5 separate regions of the Mus musculus genome follow, and regions 1, 3, 4 and 5 are each reported to be linked to region 2. The links are microRNA targets in miRTarBase. Many come from high-throughput screens and were not tested one by one. Region 2 holds a microRNA gene; each other region holds the end of a gene's coding sequence.

What was found. The annotated mature microRNA mmu-miR-669m-3p reads AUAUACAUCCACACAAACAUAU and lies in region 2 at 2,294-2,315, opposite strand. An mRNA with a match to its seed (bases 2 to 7 or 8) in the 3' UTR can be bound and repressed. Matches are read on the target gene's strand: a 7mer-m8 pairs with bases 2 to 8, a 7mer-A1 pairs with bases 2 to 7 and ends in A, and an 8mer does both.
Region 1: miRTarBase lists Slc28a3 as a target of mmu-miR-669m-3p. Seed matches in the 3' UTR shown: 7mer-m8 at 3,355-3,361 and 7mer-A1 at 2,739-2,745.
Region 3: miRTarBase lists Kcnc2 as a target of mmu-miR-669m-3p. Seed matches in the 3' UTR shown: 7mer-A1 at 3,087-3,093.
Region 4: miRTarBase lists Rsad1 as a target of mmu-miR-669m-3p. Seed matches in the 3' UTR shown: 7mer-m8 at 2,786-2,792.
Region 5: miRTarBase lists Ints12 as a target of mmu-miR-669m-3p. Seed matches in the 3' UTR shown: 7mer-m8 at 2,468-2,474.

Annotation. Positions count from the first base shown.
Region 1 is chr13:58,552,009-58,556,133 of GRCm38, forward strand. Slc28a3 (solute carrier family 28 (sodium-coupled nucleoside transporter), member 3) reads right to left here. Exons shown (of 18, transcript NM_022317.3): 18 at 1,299-3,808. The coding sequence ends at 3,682. Among named protein-coding and RNA genes, the nearest start is that of Gm38494, 7.6 kb to the left of the region's middle.
Region 2 is chr2:10,511,037-10,515,161 of GRCm38, reverse strand. It overlaps Mir669m-1 (microRNA 669m-1), which reads right to left and starts at 2,372; the gene lies at 2,275-2,372. All of the region lies in intron 10 of Sfmbt2 (Scm-like with four mbt domains 2), which reads right to left. It overlaps Mir297b (microRNA 297b), which reads right to left and starts at 3,495; the gene lies at 3,387-3,495. It overlaps Mir466d (microRNA 466d), which reads right to left and starts at 3,195; the gene lies at 3,100-3,195. It also overlaps Mir669m-2, Mir466n, Mir669o, Mir466g and Mir466h.
Region 3 is chr10:112,462,974-112,467,098 of GRCm38, forward strand. It overlaps Kcnc2 (potassium voltage gated channel, Shaw-related subfamily, member 2), which reads left to right. Exons shown (of 5, transcript NM_001379643.1): 5 at 144-3,331. The coding sequence ends at 280. Among named protein-coding and RNA genes, the nearest start is that of Kcnc2, 200 kb to the left of the region's middle.
Region 4 is chr11:94,539,232-94,543,356 of GRCm38, reverse strand. Rsad1 (radical S-adenosyl methionine domain containing 1) reads left to right here. Exons shown (of 9, transcript NM_001013381.2): 7 at 9-63; 8 at 373-476; 9 at 710-3,559. The coding sequence ends at 827. Among named protein-coding and RNA genes, the nearest start is that of Rsad1, 7.9 kb to the left of the region's middle.
Region 5 is chr3:133,108,943-133,113,067 of GRCm38, reverse strand. It overlaps Ints12 (integrator complex subunit 12), which reads right to left. Exons shown (of 7, transcript NM_027927.4): 7 at 2,080-4,125. The coding sequence ends at 3,649. Arhgef38 (Rho guanine nucleotide exchange factor (GEF) 38) reads left to right here. Exons shown (of 14, transcript NM_001368752.1): 14 at 1-790. Among named protein-coding and RNA genes, the nearest start is that of Ints12, 19 kb to the right of the region's middle.

The DNA.
Region 1 (4,125 bases), not on the chromosome of region 2:
AGTGCAATGCGTGTGTGTGTGTGTGTGTGTGTGTGTGTGTGTGTGTGTGTGTGTGTGCTGCGTGTGTGTATCCAGGCATAAAGAAAACGGAAAGCTAAAGCTAGAGCTATAGACAAAGGGGGATTTTCAAAGCATCTCACTAGCTGTGAAGAGGAAGTGAAAGGTAGTATGCAAATATTTGCTGTGTCTGTCATCACTGATCCCTTACATGCTCTTCTGTGTTTGTACAAACAGGAAGAAAGGCATGAGTACTGGTCAGTTACCAGTGAGTTCTCTGTTGGCGGAGAACTGGGGTGCTCAGAATGGGCAGAAAGATGTTTAGTTATGTTCGTGTAAAACTATTATATTTTAGATTTTCTTATTCCAGTTTAACAAACAGTGTTTTCATTGTGAACGTCTATTTTTTACAAACTAAAGAGAAAAAACTTTTTGACAAACAGTCATAATTGCTTTCCTTGAGGCAAGCTGACAGGCTCAGGAAAGAGTTAAACAAAGAAACATATTGACCAAAGACAAAATTTAAAAAAAAATTGATAGGCATTCTAGAAATAACAAAAAGGTTCTCTCAGGGATTCTCAGGAAGAATATATACAAATATATAAAAAAAAATCAGGAGGTTAAAAAGCATCAGAGAGAGCCGGGTGTGGTGGCACATGCCTTTAATCCCAGCACTTGGGAGGCAGAGGCAGGCGGATTTCTGAGTTCGAGGCCAGCCTGGTCTACAGAGTGAGTTCCAGGACAGCCAGAGCTACACAGAGAAACTCTGTCTCGAAAAACCAAAAAAAAAAAAAAAAACAAAAAACAAAAACAAAACAAAACAAAACAAAACAAAACAAAAACAACAACAACAAAAAAAGCATCAGAGAGAAGATAGTAGCTATAGAAGACAAGAGAGAACCAACATATGAATAATTGGCACTTCCGACGTTGTTCCGTAGGCTGTAATGAAACCTTAAGGCTTACAAGGACACACAAATGGCTTTTCCTAAAGTATAAAGACTGAGAAAGATTGATGAAAATAATAAAAAAAATTAGAAATACCGGGCCGGGTGTGGGGGCACACGACTTTAATCCCAGCACTCGGGAGGCAATGGCAGGCAGATTTCTGAGTTTGAAGCCAGCCTGGTCTACAAAGTGAGTTCCAGGACAGCCAGGGCTATACAGAGAAACCCTGTCTCGAAAAAAAAAATTAGAAATACCTTGATCTGTTTACTTCAGGGACAAAAAGTTCTTTGGACACACAAGCCCTCCTCCCACACCACCAAACATAAAGCAAAACCAACAAATAATCCCAACTATTTATGCATAGATTATTTTTTAATTGCTCTCGTGCATGGTCAGAAGGGGAAACAGAATACATCATCTAAGGTATTGCATAACCCTTTCCCCGCTGACACTCTTCCTTTTGAGTCGTCTTTGGCTCAGGTTTTCCTCAGTGTGTTCTCTGCACCGTCGATACTTATTTCGTTAAAGCGAGTTCTGCTGATAACCCCCAGGGAGCACTCATGATGCTGGTGTCTTGCTGATTGACAGGAGAGCCAGTGAAAGCCATCCCCACCTCAGTGGGCATTGAGTGTCCTTCATAGTTGGCCCTTACGTGGCTTTTTGACTGAGCACTAATGTTTTACAGTCTTAATCAGGAATGTAACAAAATTGCACATCAACAGGTCTATATACACAATCACAGAGACTTGGATGTCAGGCACCTTGGTAGTCTATTGACTTCTTCAAAGTGTTCACTGTTGTAGCCGGGCGTGGTGGCGCACGCCTTTAATCCCAGCACTCGGGAGGCAGAGGCAGGTGGATTTCTGAGTTCAAGGCCAGCCTGGTCTACAAAGTGAGTGCCAGGACAGCCAGGGCTACACAGAGAAACCCTGTCTCGAAAAACCAAAAAAAAAAAAAAAGTGTCCACTGTTTTCCTCTTGTGACAGGGATAGTTCATTTATGGCCTCAGACACCTCCTTGTCACAGAACTTCTCTGGCTCACAGCACAGAGTGGAAATGAAGAGTGTTATTACCTTGTATAAATTTTGCTGTTGCTGCTTGGAGACACACTCTTGCTATGTACCCTGTGCTGGTTTTGAGCTCATAATCTTCCTGTCTCAGCTTCCCAGAGCTGGAATACAGGAGTGTGCACCAAATCTGGCTCCTAGCAGCAAAGTTAAGAGCTATTACACTGTTTCTGCATGTTTCCCTAAGGTCAACCCATATAGGGACCACTTCTTTTAGCCAGGGTACTGAAAACAGACATGATTAAACCCCAGTTTAGCAATGCAGAGACTCATGGATGATAAATGTGAGAATACACAACTACAGAGTGCTCAGCTCCAACTGGAACATTTATAGCTACTTCCTTGCGGCACAGGGAATAGAGCTCAAGATGGGGAGGAAAGAATGTGAGAGCCAGGGGCTGGGGAAGAGCTGTGAGATGCTGTCTTCCGAACAGGACAGACTTTGCACTCATGAGCTCAAGGTAGAAATGGTCACTCCCACAAGATCAAGCCAACAGTGCCAGGCAACATTGTTGCAGGCAACCCTAGACTTAGTAAGTTACAGAAGAAATGGTCACTCCCACAAGATCAAGCCAACAGTGCCAGGCAACATTGTGGCAGGCAGCCCTAGACTCAGAAGGTTACAAAACATAGAGGAGAGGGCAAGAAGGTGAGGTGGAGACAAGCTGAGGGGTGTCTAGGAGGGTGGGGGCAGTGGGAATTAAGGGTAGGTATGATCAAAGTACATTATACACATGTGTAAAATTGCCAAAGAATAAAAGATATTCATTCAAAAAATACAATGTTAACTTTAAAAAGATGGAGGACGACTGCTTACAAGCCTCTGAGGCTGATGAGACTTAGAATCTTGAAGCCGAGCATTTCAAACATATCCGTAAAAGATTTGTAAGATGTTGAAGTTAGCGGGGAGTCTCTGCAGCATAGGTGGATGGAAGCTTGCTGCTTACAAGGCTCTATGTTTATGGACTCAAGTATTGGCTTTCGTATGGCCTGCGTGCTTTTCTGAAGGACTCTTGATCTATGAGAAACTTCTGGATGGTAGCGAATGAATGGGCCATTGCAGAATAGCCCTCCTTCACATGAGATTCAAGTTGAAGGTATTTCAGATGACCTTGAGTGAGGGTGGAATGACCTTGCCTGAGATGTGTTTAAATCATATTGGGAACTACCACACACACACACACACACACACACACATCTATCTATCTATCTATCTATCTATCTATCTATCTATCTATCTATCTATCTGGCCCAGTTGCTGGGAACTACCATATATATTGGTATATATATATTTATATAAATATATATGGTATGCATATATATACTATTACATGTGTATATATATACATATACACACAGACATATATATGTGTATATATTTGTTTATATACACATATTTTTTCATGAAATGCCTTGAAACTATAAAGTCAGAAAATATTGTTGGGGCTTAGGATCACACCTCAGCTAGGGACAACATCCTAGTTCTCCATGCAGAGATGGTGGGCTAAGGAGAGAAAGGAGAAGGGAGACACTGTAGCTCAGGAGGACTCACTCCTGACCTTGTTCCTCCTTTGCCATTAAGTCTGAGTCCATGACGGAGTTTTCTATCCCCTCCAGGGCAGGAACTCCAGCATCTGCATGCAGAATCCCACTGGACACATGGCTGAGATCACAATTTATTAGGGATCCAATTGCAGTTCAGCGTTGGTGGTTTCAGCAGGTTGCAGCAGCTCTTCAAAGCATAGAGGCTGAAGTTTCCTCCTGGGACGACGTCATTTGGTCCCTTGGCAACAGTGCTGGTGGAGGCAGAAGGAACTCATTAGCTGGGCCTTAGGTGGGAGCAGGAGGAGAGTAGACAAGGGCACACTGGAAATGGTACAGGACAGGAAGCGGATTCCCTTGTTTCCAGTCTAGATAGGTGGGTTTAAGAGAGACTCCTGAGGGTTGGTTTTGGTTCTCAGATTCTGGGTGGCCCTGAGAACTCCCACTGTTTCTTTCAGAATAGCAATGACAGGGTAGAACTAATTCTTACAAAAACAACAAACGAAAAATAAAAAGGTACCTGTACATGAACTGGACCCATGACTAGGCAGTTAAGAGCACACTGGCTGTC
Region 2 (4,125 bases):
AATACCAGGATGATGTCCAGCTGAAGTTAAGCATGAATTTGAACTCCCGACCCTGCTCAATCTGTAATATGTTTGCACATGGCGAGTGAGACCGTTCACTGTCCCACTACTGCATAATCTCTAAAAGAATAAGTCACATAGCATTCAAATTAATGGATGAATTCAATTCCTCTGTGTGTGAGAGTGTATGTGCTTGCATTTGTGTGTGTGTGTGCGTGCGTATGATATATATATTCACATACACACAAGCACATGCACACACAAATATACACACATGGACATACATGGCTGAGAATCACATGAATCACAGGCTGATCTTAAAATCATCATGAAGTTAAGCATGAATTTGAACTCCTAAAACTCCTGATTCCAGCATACATTTTGACCTGGAGAGTGAGATCACGCACTGTCCCAGAACTGCATAATCTCTAAAACTCTAAGTGACATATCATTCAAATGGATCGATGAGTGTCATTTGTGTGTGTGTGTGTGTGCCGCATGTGTGTGCATGTGTCTGTATATGCAAAATCATATACATACATCCACATGCACACACACGAAAACACACATCGACATAAATGGGTGGCATCACATGAATGATCTATAACTGAAGTTAAGCATGAATTTGAAATCCTGATTAACCTGACTCTGTCAATCATTTACACCTGGTGAGTGAAACCATTCACTGTCCCCTATTGCATAATCTCTAAAACTCTTAAGTCAGTTATCATTCAAATGGATTGATGAGTGTCATTCTTGTGTCTGTGTGTGTGTGCTTGTGTTTATACGTGTGTGTGTATGTTATGTATATTCAAATACACACATAAACATGCACACACAACTATACACACATGCACATGCATGGAGGAATCACAGGCTGATCTCTCATGAGGATAAGTATGAATTTGAACTCGGGATACTCTTAACTCTAGCAAGGATTTTCACCTAGAGAATGAGAGCACTCACTGGCCAAGTACTGCATAATCTCTAATATGCTAAGTGACATATCATTCAAATGGATCAATGAGTGGCATTCGTGTGTGTGTGTGTGCTGCATGTGTCTGTACATGTATACTCATATATATACATTCACATGCACACACCTGTAAACACACATGCACATACACGGGTGGCATCACATGAATACCAGGATGATGTCCAGCTGAAGTTAAGCATGAATTTGAACTCCTGATCTTCTTGAATCTGCAAATTGTTTACACATGATGAGTGCGACCATTCATTACCCACTACTACATAATCTATAAGACTGTAAATCACATATCCTCTGTGTGTGTGTGTGTGTGTGTGCACGCACGCGCATGCAAGCGCACATGCACGTGTGTCTATGTATGCTCTCATGTATATGCATATTCATATACACACATGTACATGTACGCACACACAAACACACATGCACATACACAGGAGCCATCACATGAATGCCAGGCTGATCTCCAACTCATCATGCAACCAACATGAATTTACACTCTTGATCATCCTGAATCTGGCAAGGGTCTTTACCTTGTGAGTGAGAGCATTCATTGGCCCAGCACGGCATACTCTCTAAAACTCACATGTCACATGTCACATGTCACTCAAAATGATCTATGGGTGCCATTTCTGTGTGTGTGTATATCTGTGCATGCTTGTATATGTTTGTGTGGATGTATATGTATATTCATATACACACATGCACATGCACACAAAACTATACACACATGCAAATATATTGTGGGGAACCCCATAAAATCAGGCTGATCTCTACTCTCTTTTGAATTTATTTATGAATATGAATTCCTGACCCCTCTGAATATGGCAAGCTTTTACATAGTGAGAAAAACTTTCATTTGACCAGTACTACATAACCTTTAAAGCTCAAAATCACATATCATTCAAACATATCAATGAATTCCATTCCTTGTGTGTATGTGTGCATACGTGTGTCCATATACATGTATGTTTATGTTATATATATATATATATATATATATATATATATATATATATGTATATATATATATATATATATATATTCATTTACACAGATGTACACGCACACACATGTAAACACACATGCACATACATGGGTGGCATCACAGGAATACCAGGATAATCTCTAACTGAAGTTAATCATGAATTTGAAATCCTGATTCTCCAGACTTTGTCAATCATTTACAGCTGGTGACTGAGACCATTCACTGTCCCACTACTGCAGTCTCTAAAACTCTAAGTCACCTATCATTCAAATGGATCGATGAGTGCCATTCCTGTGTGTGTATCTGTGCTTGCTTGTATATGTTTGTGTGGATGTATATGTCTATTCATATACACACATGCACATGCACACAAAACTATACACACATGCACATACATTGGGGAGGATCCCATGAAGCCAGGCTGATCTGTACACCATTTTGAAGTTACTCATGAATTTGAACTCCTGATCCATCTGAATATGAAAAACATTTTACTGGTAAGTAAGAAGTTTCATTGGCCAAGTACTACATAATTGCTAAAGCTCTAAGTCACATATCTTTCAAACATATAAATGAATGCAATTTTTTCTCTGTGTGTGTGTGTGTGTGCTTGCATATACACATGTGTTTATGTTATGTATATTCATGTCAACACATGCACATGCACATACAAGTAAACACACATGCACATACATGGGTGGCATCACATGAATACCAGGATGATCTCTAACTGAATTAAGCATGAATTTGAAATCTTTATCCTCCTGACTTTGTCAATCTTTTACACCTGGTGGGTGAGACCATTCAATGTCCCCTATTGCATAATCTCTAAAACTCTACATGACTTATCATTCAAAGGGATTGGCGAATGCCATTCCTGTATCTGTGTATGTGTGCTTGCGTTTATACGTGTGTGTGTATGTTATGTATATTCAAATATAGACATGAACATGCACACACAACTATACACACATGCACATACATGGAGGAATCACATAAATCACAGGCTGATCTCTAAATTCTCATGAGGATAAGTATGAATTTGAACTCCTGATACTCTTAACTCTAGTAAGCATTTTCACTCTAAGTCACTTATCATTCAAATGGATTGATGAGTGCCATCCCTGTGTGTGTGTGTGCGTGCGTATCTATGTGTGCGTGTATGTATATGTATATTCATATACACACATGTACATGTACGCACACACAAACACACATGCACATACACAGGGGCCATCACATGAATGACAGGCTGATCTCTACCTCATCACGCAGTTAACATGAATTTGCACTCCTGATCACCCTGACTCTGGCAAGGGGCGTCACATGGTGAGTGTGACCTCTCCCTGGCCCAGTCATACAGAATCTCTAAGACTCTAAGACACATATCATTCAATAGAACAATGAGTATCCATTTTCTGTGTGTTTGTATGCATGTTTGTATGGGTATGTGTGTATGTATATGTATATTCATATACACATGTTCATGCACACATACATATACACACAAGCAAATAGATTGGGGGCATCACATGAATCCGAAGTTGATCCCAGACTCATCATGAAGTTGAGAATGAATTTTGACTGCTCATCCTCCTGACTCTGGCAAGCATTTTTACCTTTTGACTAAGAGCACTCACTGGCCCAGCACAGCATAATTTCTAAAACTCTAAGTCACCTGTCATTCAAAATGATTGATGGGTGTGTGTGTGTGTGTCTGTGTATCTGTGCTACTTCTATATGTTTGTATGGATGTATATGTATATGCATATGCACACATGCACATGCACATAAACTATACACACATAAACATACATTGGGGGGAACCCCGTGAAGTCAGGCTGATCTCTATGTCATTTTGAAATTACTCATGAATTTGGACCCCTGATCCATCTGAATATAACAAACATTTTTACTGGTAAGTAAGACGTTTCATTGGCCCAGTAATACATACTCTTAAAGCTCTAAGTCATATATCATTCAAACGTAACGACGAATGCAATTTCTTCTGTGTGTGTGTGCCTGCATATACACGTGTGTTTATGTTATGTATATTCATATCAACACATGCACATGCACATACAAGTAAGCACACATGCACATACATGGGTAGCATCACAGAAATACCAGGATGATCTCCAACTGAAAT
Region 3 (4,125 bases), not on the chromosome of region 2:
ATGTATGAATTGTGTCAATATTGATTTCTTTACAAATGGTTTTAGCTGAAAAATAGAACTTGGGGTTACCCTGCACTGTACTGTTTGTCTCTTTCTAATTTCTGGTTGAACTCAACTGATGTCTATGCATTTTTTCATAAAAGGATATGAAAAATCCCGAAGCTTAAACAACATAGCGGGCTTGGCAGGCAATGCTCTGAGACTCTCTCCAGTAACGTCCCCCTACAACTCTCCGTGTCCTCTGAGGCGCTCTCGGTCTCCCATCCCATCTATCTTGTAAACCAAACTGCATCAATCGGCTAAATTCTATCAATACAACCAACTACTGTTTACCCTGTAATGGAAACAATCAACTGTAGAGTTTCTCCAGGCTCCATTAGTAACAGTGTAGCTCCTGCATGATATTACTATTTGAAGTCAGAAATGCTACGCAAGTAGCTAAAACATCTTATCCTGGCTTTAAAGATGATCTAAAGTAGTGCTACTACTCAAGACAAGTTGCCCCAGTTTCCTTTTGCAATACAGTGACCAATAGTGTCAGATATTGGCCAGTGCACTAATGCATAAGCCATATCTTCAGGGAGACTTTAATAGTGTGCTTCTAAATGCCAGCCACCTTTCTGGACCTTCATTTCTTGTGACTCCAAACCATTCTGAAGATGTCTGGGATCCTATCTAGATCGCATAGGACATGACTTTGGTCAGTTCATTGGCATGGACCATCTTGTCTGTATCACCTGAATACAATGTTGTAGAGTCCTGGGACTGGATGGCTCAGGATACATGTACTTGCTTCAAACCATCCTGCAAATGTGAAATCGCTGGGAGCCTGTTCTGCATGTTGAATTGTGGGGCAGGGAGGGGTGCCTTTCTCCTTGCTATTCCCCACCCCTTCTTTGATAGAAGTATTTACTTTAAATACCTTAATTTTTCGATTGATTTCTTTTTTTTTTTTTATAAAAAACAAACAAATGCTGTATTGGTGTTCTGAATGTTTTTGGTTGTTTGTATACACAGATAACTGCAAAGAGGTTGTCATTACTGGTTACACGCAAGCCGAGGCCAGATCTCTTACTTAATGACTTGGGGAAGGCACAAAACATGAAAGAAAGGTAACAGCTAACCAGGCTTGCATTGTTTAGCCAAGAATCGCTGCTTGGTACTAGAGCCATTCCCCCCCCCCCCCTTTAAGTCCTAGAATTTGTCATTATTTTTAGAGGTAGAGTGCCAAATATTACCCAAAGCTTTTGTCTTTTTTTTTCTTGCCTCTTTATTTTTATTTATTATTTTGTGTGAACATTAAAAGTTACTGGTGTTCACCGGAGGCTTTTTTGACTAGCCTTAAGATTTGCATCAAAGGACTAACCAGAATTTTCAGGCTGTGTTTAATCAGGTGCTTCGTCCCGTGTGTTGTCTCCATCTGTCTGTCTTAGCTCCCTGTCTTAACTCTATATGCTGTCTCCATAGAGGGTAGACGTGCCCTGATTGTCTCTTTGAACTCCCTACCTCCTACCCATGTCTTCTTGTATGCAAAACTAATGATGCTGTGTAGACTACCTAGATTAATAGGCACTGTGAATATTTTTTTCCATGAGCAGGACCGAAGCAGCAATTCACCATAGTTCTCTGTTCCTTATGGCAGTGCTGGTTTCTACTGCCTAGCAATCAGCATTCACCAGTACGTTCCAGGAACCATCCCTAGGGAGTCTTTTTTATTTATTTATTTATTTTCAGTCTGGAGGGAAGATAGTCTGTTTACACATCCCTACCAAATGCTGTAGCAATAGTGTATCTGATATTTTGGGTATGCGAAGGAAGGAAAATGCCATAATATAATCTCAGCCTAGACTTTAACTTTCAATGAATTGATCCTTACGCGTGTTGATGAATTCCTGATTCTCATGTTTATTTTTGATAGAAAGGCAATTGTCACTTGTGTTATTGGATAGAGACGTGTGTTAGTCTCCATTCCCAAGCCCTAGAGCATGAGCTGCATGTCAAGAGATCTTGTACAGCAATGCATTTACCCAGACGTAAATACTCGAAATTTAGAGACTCCACGATTCTTTTGATAACACCATTCGTAGAATGCTGTGAGTACTCAGAGATTTACGGTAAGGAATTAACATGCTGTCTGGTGCTGCTGTTATTGACTGCAGTGTTGTACAGAATTTATCATGGATTTTTGACTGCTGAAAAAAAAGGACATTGAGATTTAGCCATTCCAAGGATTGTACCAGAAAACTTCTGCTACCGAATGTAACCCGATGTGACCCGTTTGTTTCCAGAAGAGGTCCCGCATCTTATGAGGCATTTAAAGCTTATAAAAGGGACTGTGGCTGGAACTGAGATGGTGCTCGCCATGGGAATATTCTGCTTGTCGACAGACCTGAGTCCACGGAACAGCTGTAAATACCAACCGTGTGCATGGACCTGCCCACTCTCACCGTCTCATAGACAGTGAGACGCCACAGACATCAGACGGTGAGACGTCAGACGGTGAGACGCCACATTCATGGTCAGCGTCTGTGGGGCTTCAAGGAATGCCCGCAAGGCTCTGAATGGCTCCTCTCAGGCTCACGGTGGTTTTGGAGTGAATTACAGAGGGCAGTGAATCCGATGTAGTATAGGTCTGTTTTCATTTCTCTTATTTGTACATTACGTGTTGGATATCCAAACACTGATTGCCTCATTTTCTTGCAAACCGCTTATAGATCAGCGTGTCGACTGTGTTGTAAACTTCTAGTGTCTACATAGAAATCTAACCATTTCTTGGTCACGTGTTCATTTAGTTCTGGAAGGCTGTTACTATCTAGAAGAAAGTCATCAACAGTGTTCATAGTTTTAAGTCTTTTGTCCTTGTTACCTCAATTATAAATATTAAAAAGTATAAATTCTGGCAATGAGAATATTTTTTTATTAAATGATTAAGGAAAATGTCAGTATATAGTAGAATATTATCAAATTATATCCTAAAATGTCTATTTTGCATAAAAGAGATATTCTTCAACCAATTACTTTTTTTTTTTGTGAGCTTTGTGGCTAACGAAGCGTGCATTTGTCCTTATCACTGCTGTAGTTGAAACTGTATAAGAGTTTTTCATCTTGCTTAATCAATATTTCCAGAATCTAATAGTTCCCCTGGGATTCTGAATATACTATATAGCCTAACTATAACCCCCCTGTATCGTGTACCTTTTGTGACCATCTCAAGGTGCATGCCTAACCTTCTGATAAGCCAATGGACATGTTACTAACTGAAGTGAAGAATAAAAGTCAACTGATCTGGGGATAGACTTGAATCCTATGTGATTAAATGATTCATACCCTTCTCTGGCTTTCTTTCTTTGTGTGTTTCGATTTCAGTGGCTTGGCTGTTGTTCTGCTTCATGGTTCTACAGCACACACACTTACACATTCCCAAGAAGTTGGGAATGAAGGTCTTTTAAAGATACGGAAGCTCTCTATTCACTCAAAACTTGGAAGCATAGCTTATGTTTTCTATTTCATTCTGTTTTCTTGCGAGAATACTTGTGCTTTAATTTCATTAACAGTGCAGTTCAGGACCTGAGTGGCACAACTGTTCATTTACATTTTTGTCACAAGTGTCCTTCCTACATTTTAAATATTTACTGAACCTCTTGGTGTAAATCCTACTTGAAAACATGCCTTCTGTCTTTGGATCTCTGTTTCCTACACATGACGAACATAGCTGGCATCCCAGCCATATTGCAGGGATATGAATAAACTTACCATACACAATTCTATAATACCATCCAATGATAGAAGAGACGAGGAAAGAAAAAAAAAGTACTGAGGCAGAAAAGAATGTGGGCAAATCCAACCCCCCTCTTTTAATAATGTATCTGCATGCGAGTTTCAGTCTCTCAAGCTGTTCAGTGCTAATGACAACAAGAGGATTAAGATGCGGAGCCTAGCAAAGAGGGTTTTGAAAGTAGAGTTACCTGCAAATGTTATTAACAATAATATTCAGAGGAAAGATTCACTGTGACAAGGAACACTGTGAATAAAGAGAAAACATACTTCTATCAATAGCAATCACCACCAGTTCTTATTAAAAAAAAAAAAAACAGGTATAAGATATCACAAGTAAAGAGTAATGAT
Region 4 (4,125 bases), not on the chromosome of region 2:
TCTTCCAGGCTAGAGGAGGTTTTGGCTATGGGGCTGCGTACTGATGTTGGAGTCACTCACCAGGTAAGGGACTGGGGGGATCTCAGATATTATTAGCACCTCCTAGGGTCACTTCCCAGGCCCTACTCCCTCCATCCTCTAGGTTGGCAACTAGAAGCTGGACCTGGCCAACTGAAGTCTGGTGACAGAGGCAGTGGGTAGTGCTGTATGCCAGTTAAAGATTGCACGTAGAGCTCTGTGCTGGGCAGGTGCTCTACCACTGAGCTATTATTCACATTAAATCCAAGTGTGTGTGTGTGTGTGTGTATGTGTGTGTGTGTGTGTGTGTGTGTGTGTGTCGGCCAGCTCATTGCACTGACTTCTGATTCCTAGCACTGGCAGCAGTTTGAGCCCCAGCTGACCCTGTGGGACGTGTTTGGAGCAAGCAAGGAGGTGGAGGAGCTGCTAGCTCAGGGTCTGCTGCTGCTGGATTACAGGTATGTTGGGAATATTGTGCGGAGGGGGCTTCACAGACCCTGGGAGCTCTTGACTACAGATTGGGGCGTGGGAGGACTGCCATAATGAGTGTGTCACAACTAAATGTTCCCCTCCTTTTCAGAGTGGTAGAAACAAGAAAGACCAATAGAGGAGGGCATGGGCTGCCAGGGGTGGGCAGGAATGGGCCTTTATGGTAAAGTTAGAGTCATATCCAGACCTCTCGGTTTTCCAGGGGTCTCCGGTGTTCCTGGGAGGGCCTAGCTGTGCTGGACTCCCTGTTATTGACCCTCCTACCTCAACTCCAAGAGGCCTGGCAGCACAGGCCTTCCTCACCCGTGTCAGGAGGATGACCAGACATCCTTGTATCATGAGGAAGCACCAGTTGGACTTAGAGGGCTGGGCCAGATGGTGGGCATCTGCCGGTAGGTGCCATCTCTGCTCTGAGGTGCTATTGCTTGGCTCTGACACCCCCATGGGAATGGATGTGGTCAGTTGGATGGACGGCTGCCTCTGTTCTGGGGACTGGTATCCCTCACAGCATCCCAGGAGTCACAGGTCAGCAAGTGTTCCCTGCCTAGGATGTCCTCACCACCCCACTCCCACCCCCCGCCACTGGCTTTTGTTGACTTTTTTGGACACCAAATAACACAAAATCTTTCTACAGGGAATTGTATCTATCAGAGAAGCCTCATTCTAGAGAGAAGCCCTAGCTTGTATGGTTCAGTAGAACTAAATCCCCTCCAGGTACCTTACACAGAAGAAATATAGGAACAAGATGTTTACAAAACCATTTGAAGGGCTGGAGAGATGGCTTGGTGGTTTGCTCTTCTAGAGAACCAGGGTTCAAGTCCCAGCAGCCATGTGGCAGCTCACAACCATCAGTAACTCTCATTCCAGGGGATCCGGCACCTTCTTTTCACCTCTTCGTGTACCAGACACCTGTGTGGTGCATAGATATTCATCTAGGCAAAACACTCATATGCATAAAATAAAAAGAAATAAATCTAAAAAAAATATTTTTATCCAAGGCCACTTGTTGTACAGAAATGTAACCTATACTCTATGTATGTCTCATTATTTCCTAAGGGTTGAATTCAGGTTCAAAGTTTTAAACATTATTTTCATTTTTATTATTTATTTGGATTTTCAAGATGGGGTCTCTCTGTGTGGCCTTGGTCCTGGAGCTCACACTGTAGACCAGGCTTGTCTAGAACTCAGAGATCTGCTTGCCTTTCTTTGCCTTCCGAATGTAGGGATTAAAGGCTTGCACCAATACTGCCCACATTTTATTAAAGTGTGTGTGTGTGTGTGTGTGCGCGCGCGCGCGCGCGCGCGCGCGTGTGTGCGTGCAGCCATGGAGGCCAGAGTAGAGTGTTGTATCTTCTGGAGACAGAGTTACAGAGGAATGAATGTGAGCCATCTTTTCTGAGCACCACACTCTGGTCCTCTGGAAGAGCAGGGAGCACTCTCTCCTGCTAAGCTATTTCTCCAGCTTCTATTTTGAATGTAAAAGATTGTGGGGTTTTTTTTCCCCCTGAGACAGTGCCATATGTACCCGACACTGCAAACTCACTGTGTGGCTGAGGACAGTGTTTAGCATCGGACCCCCTGCTTCTGCCTCCCGAGTGCTGAGATCACGGGCATGCACCACCACACCCATTTTTCTGTGGTTCTGGACTTCATGCGCTGAGGCAAACACCACTATCTAAATCCCCAACCCTATCAGGTTCAGTATTATTATTTTTTTAATTTAGATTTATCTTTCTTACTATTTAAGTATTTTGTGTGCATGCCTTTGAATGTGCACACCATGCGTGTGCCTGTTGGATCCCCTGGAACTGGGCTTGCGGATGGTTGTGAGCCACAATGTGGGTGCTGGTTATTGAATGTGGGTCCTCTGCCAGATCAAATAAGTGCCCTTAACTGTTGAGCCATCTCTCCAGCCCCGAGGGTAATAGTGCACAGCTGCATCTTTCCTTTGAAATTAAGGAGTTCATTATCTTGGCTTGAGACCATGAGACCAAATGTCCCATCGCCTGATAATCATTTGACCAGTGACTTTAGCACCTACTAGTGATTCTTTCCCAAATTACTTTTAAAATTTACATTTGTATTTTTAAACATTTACTTATGTCTACAATTGCTCTATCTGCATGTACACCTGTATGCCAGAAGAGGACCTCAGATCACACTATAGATGGTTATGGGCCATTACATTGGTGCTGGGAATTGAACTCAGGACCTCTGGAAGAGCAGACAGTGCTCTTAACCACTGAGCCATCTCTCCAGCCTCAAACTTAGGTATTTTATGTATATGAGTGCTCTATTTGTATATATGCCTGCATGACAGAAGAGGACATCAGATTATATATAAATGGTTGTGAGCAACCATGTGGTTGCTGGGAATTGAACTCAGGACCTATGGAAGAGCACCCTGTGCTCTTATCTGCTGAGCCATCTCTCCAGCCTAGCCAAATCATTTCTTAAATTGAGGATTGCAAAGTATTGGTTTCTGATTCTATTATTCCTTCCAAATTAATTATTTTCCATTTTCCCCATAAAAAAGAACTTTCCTCTGTTATTGTTACAATGTTAAGAATCAGACCTATGGCCTTGTTCAAGCCAGACAACCTCCTTCTATGGTAGGAATCTCAAACCTGTAAATTCCTAACCCTGTAACAGGCTCATCCCATCGAATAGACCTTAGGTTGTCAGACTCCCTGGACGGGGGGGGGGGGGGGGGCGCTGCCATAATGGGTATGTCTCAACTAGATGTGTCCTTGCTCTTCAGAGGGACATATTTCTTCCTGATAACGCAAGACCTTTTTTCTTCTCCCCTGCCGCCTGCAGGGGAATCAGAGACAGTCTGGTGATGTGAAACCTCCCCCTTCTACTGAGATCTATAGGAAGGGGCCCCCCACTCTACCCTGGGGAACTTGGATCCTCTTCAGAACCCTACCATGTTGTCTGTGTGTCTATGACACTGGGGCTTGAATGTTCCCGCTACTGTACACTGTGCCGCTGTGCCTGTGTGTCTGTGGTACTGATAATTCTCTTAATAAATCTCTTACCCCAAAAGACAGACCTGCGTAGCTCCTCCTTGAGGCACTTCCAACCTTTCATTCTTGACTTGGAAATTGTATGCCATGCCATGCATGCGTGTGTGTGTGTGTGTGTGTGTGTGTGTGTGTGTGGTTTGTTTCATTGTGCTAGGGCTGGAACTCAGGACCTGTCACTGAGCTACGTTCTCAGCCTAAAGCTCCTTAACTAATTCCTTATCGTGGCAAAGGGTACCACGGTGCCAGAAGTGATTTAGTAACCCTGCAGGTGGAAGCATGCTGACTTCTAGTGGATGATGAAAGGCCAGGGGATCCCCCACACTGCTTAGGAGTAAGCACGTGTATTTCCCATGTGCCGGTGGGTGTGAATGCCAGTCCTTCTTTGACCCTGTGGTAACGTGGTAACTGTTACTTTATTCATGAACTACTCACCTAGCACCAGTGGTCTGCCAGGCACCGTACTGGGCATGAACAGAGGAATAAGACCTGTCTGTGCTCTCAGGGAGCTTGATGCTGCGGTGACAGATGTTCAGAGATAAAGCGTTGCTGGTTAAGGTGTTTCAGACAGCTATGGGAGCCTGGAGGGCAC
Region 5 (4,125 bases), not on the chromosome of region 2:
AGATTCTGTGTAAAGAATACAAATCTTCAAAGTCTAATTCTGTAGTTGCTTCCTTCTCTATACACACATAGATGTAAAATCAATCCAGTCCAAACTATAGTACTTCAGTTCTACTGGCTCTCACCCTGGGGTCTTTACGTAGCTACGATTTTCACGGTTGTACACTCTGGTTAGATGCAGGTAAATTTTGCGTATTTTGAAAAACAGGTCAACACGTTGGAAAAGACTAGACCTAAGATGTTCTTGGTTGGAAATCCTGGGAATATATTTTTACTAAATTAAATTTGTTTTGTTTTGCTTAAAATTCCACTGAGGCATCTGAATGTATCCATCACATTTCTAATTTCTTCTGACTTTTGTACTACTAAAATTTCATGTTGTTAAAAGTGATGTATTTCCTGTGAAACCTGGGGTCGTGACAATTTATAATTGTAACTAATAAAACTACTATCATGCCCTCGTCAAGATCTGGAATCATCTAACTTTTAAATACAGATGTGCTTTTATAGTGGACTTATAACCTGATATACTCACCATGTGTTTAAAACATCCTGATCTACTGACTATCACATTGTTCAGAAAGTCATTGCTATATAGAGAGTATCAGTTGCTTGGTGGCATGATCACATGAATACTGGGAGCTGCAACCTTTTGCCCCTGCCTGGAAATGAAATAGAATTTCAGAATATGTGAGCAACACAGGAAGATGACTTGAAGTGCAGATGCAACTAAATGTATGTGACTTTCACACTACTGAAAAATAAGAAAACAGTAAAGCATTATAAACCAGGGGTTGTTTGTATTAAGTCTTTTCATTTTATCTCATCTGAACTGCGTTTTATAAAGTAGGAAACTAACACAAAGGAGTTGAAGACCAGATCATTGCATCTTAAGACCAGCATTCTTTCTGTGTCATTTCATCTATTTTCAATTCACTAAATTCTATGCTTGATCTCATAAATTACAATATGAAAAACAGGAAAAGGATACTGACCAGGATAGTTCGAATTGTCAATTCTAAATCTCTACAAGAACACTTGCTGTTGTGGTTGTTAATGTGCAATGTTTCCCCTTGGCTCCTATGTTTCATCATTTTGTTGCCATCTGGTGGTGCTTTTTGGAACGTTATGGGATCTAGAGGAAGTGGAGACTTACTAGAGGAAACAGTCACTTGGGGGTTGGGGGGAGGGCTTTGAGGTTTTATACCCTGCTCTATGTCTTGTTTCCTGAAAGCTGAGACAAACTCATCAACTGGCCTCATGGTCTGGTGCCCTGCTTTCACCATCATGATGGATTCTGTCCCTTGAGAGCTGTAAGCCCAAATAAACCCTTTCTCTTTTAGGTTGCTTTTGTCAGAGTATTTTATCACAACAGAAGAGAAAACTAAGACACCTTCTCACTTGTTCACTCATTCACTGGAGAGCTGGAGATTCCAATGCTATTCAAGACAAAACAAGCTCTCTACCCCTCATATAACTCAAGTGTTAGAAATCCTTGTTATACATAACCAAAAAAAAAAAAAAAAAAACCCATACTATTGCTACTTTCATAACTGCTTCTTGTAGTATACTTGATGAGGAAAAAAATAAAGGCCTATGAGCTAGTTAATTTATAATAATTTATAATATCAAATATATACCTTAAAAATACCAAATTTAGGCCCTTACTACACACACACACACACGCACACAAATTACCTATACAAAGAATCCTATTCACTGAAAGATAAATTACTTCCTAAACTCATTAAAATTTCCAACTAGTGCCACAAATATCAAAAATAATTGCTTCTCTCAGATCCAGCACACTTTCTGTAATGAGACTAAAATTTTTTTACTTCAAAGCTAATATGTAAACTGTACTAAGCATTATTTCTCTAATGTCTTCAAGGAAGTGAATTTCAATAACTGTAATAGCTGTTGATATAAACTTGTGTCAGGTCATTTTGTTAAGTCAAAATTGCATTTGAAGTATAAACAAACTGTTTTGAACTCTTTATAAAGGGGATATGGAGTTTATACCAAACCAGTGTTAATGAACAGAAAGGTGATTCACAAAACAAAAACATCTACAGGCACATTTTTAAGTATATAAATAGATATTTATTCCATCTCTAAATTTTGAGTTTATTTCAATATTGGTTTCTAATTTATTATGAACAATTTAACGCCATTATTTAACAGTTTAAAATACTTCCATAGAAAAAGACCAAGCTTAATTTAAAAGTTTTCTCTTTTACAATGATTATCAATTTATTTTTAGAATAATGATGTTAGAACATCTAGGGATAAAGATACACTGAGATTAGATTTAAAGCAATTTGACTCAATGAATATAGGAAATCACAAGATTCATTTTTGGGAAATAATGAGGTATTCATTGATTATAAAAAAGAAAGGAAGCTATTTTTCTATAATACATTTACTGGTCAGATACAGAAAGTATTCTCTGTTGGGGTATGTACATATATACATATATATATGTAAACTAATGGGTAATTCATTAGCTTACAAGACAATGGCTTGGACCATGTATATAGGATCACATCACGGCAAGAGTTCAGAGGAGATTTTGCCCAAGGGTCAATTCTGGGATAGCCTTTTATAACTCCACTCTTGGCCAGAATTAGTCAGTGGACATATGAGGACTAATTAATCCTTCCCAAGGGCATACTCTTCCCCCAACAGGCTCCACCTGTCAACCACCAACTCCATTGCCATATTGGGGATTATGCTTCCTAACACATAAAACCTTAAGACAAACCATATCCTAACAATATTCAAAGCATATGAGCACGTTCTGACAGAAACCTCAAGGACTAATCATTAGGTAGGAGCCTCTTTCATACAAAGATAAACCACACCAAACGTTCTTGAAGTATTAAAAACAGCTTGTCCTTTCACCATGAGGAAGAAGCTGGGTGCAAACTAGTCATAAATGCCCATCTGCCAAGCCTCTTGGAAATGGATACTCTTCTCAATGATTCTCAGAATGTGCAACCAGGATGAGCCAAGTCAGCATTTATTAAATGTACATATCTGCACATATCCACACACTGGCCAGGTACGGAAAGTGGGCAACGTGAGAAAGTATACTGTATGAGCATTCATAATCTACTGGAATAAATAACGCCCTAAGTAATTGATAAGGGGTGGTTGAGAGCTAAAGACATGATAGGGAGCTATGGGAAATCACTTTCAAAATTAATTTTGATAAAAGAGGAGGTAATTGGAGAGAGATACTAGCTGACATGAGGACAATGACTGACACTGAACATTTCAGATTTTATAAAACGCTGGAACACTTTCTATTGAGTTGTCCCTGCCACCCATAAGGTACCAGGTGAGCCATTTCTTTTCATCTGTATGCGCCATCAATTTCTTGAAGCTCTTGTCATGCATCAGTCATTATAATCACTATTTTCACACACTATGGAAATTAAAAATGCTAAACAGACTGAAATAAATAGATCCAAGTTTGGCTAAATAATATTAGCATTTTAATGTAACAAACAATAGAGATTTGATCAAGATTTTTATTAAGGTACAGTACATTACAACTTTTGTCCCAGTAAGGGTTTTATTTTGTTTGTTTTGTTTTGTTTTTTAAGTTTTAGAGTAATATGATATAAAAATCTATCTGGCCATATTACTTCTTGAGTTTCTTTTGGGCAGCTTTCTTCTTGACCATCTGTAATCGCTTCATTGCGTTGAGCTGTGATTCTTGAGAAGTTGGACCTTTAAGAGATGCTGAGGTACTGCTGCTGGTCTCTGATGTGGCTTTGCTGGTGGTACTTCCACTGGGCCCCGTTGTAGCACTATTTCCATTCCCACTCAATTGGCTGCTGCCTCCAGGAACTAAACTACTAGGACTAGGAAGACCCACTTTGCTGACGTTATCACAACTCACTGAGCGACTCAGGCCAGTCTTGCCTAAGGTTAGTGGTGGAAGCGGTTTCAACGGGACAGAGGGGCTAGTGCTGTTACCAGAACCTATTTTGGAACCTATTCCACCTTTGGATGATGTTGCCAGACCAGTCAAACCCACAGGCTTCTGGTTAGAGGATGAGGCAGCAGGTTTTCCACTACTGTTTTGTGCTGCTGAATTCAATTTTGCTGTTGATGG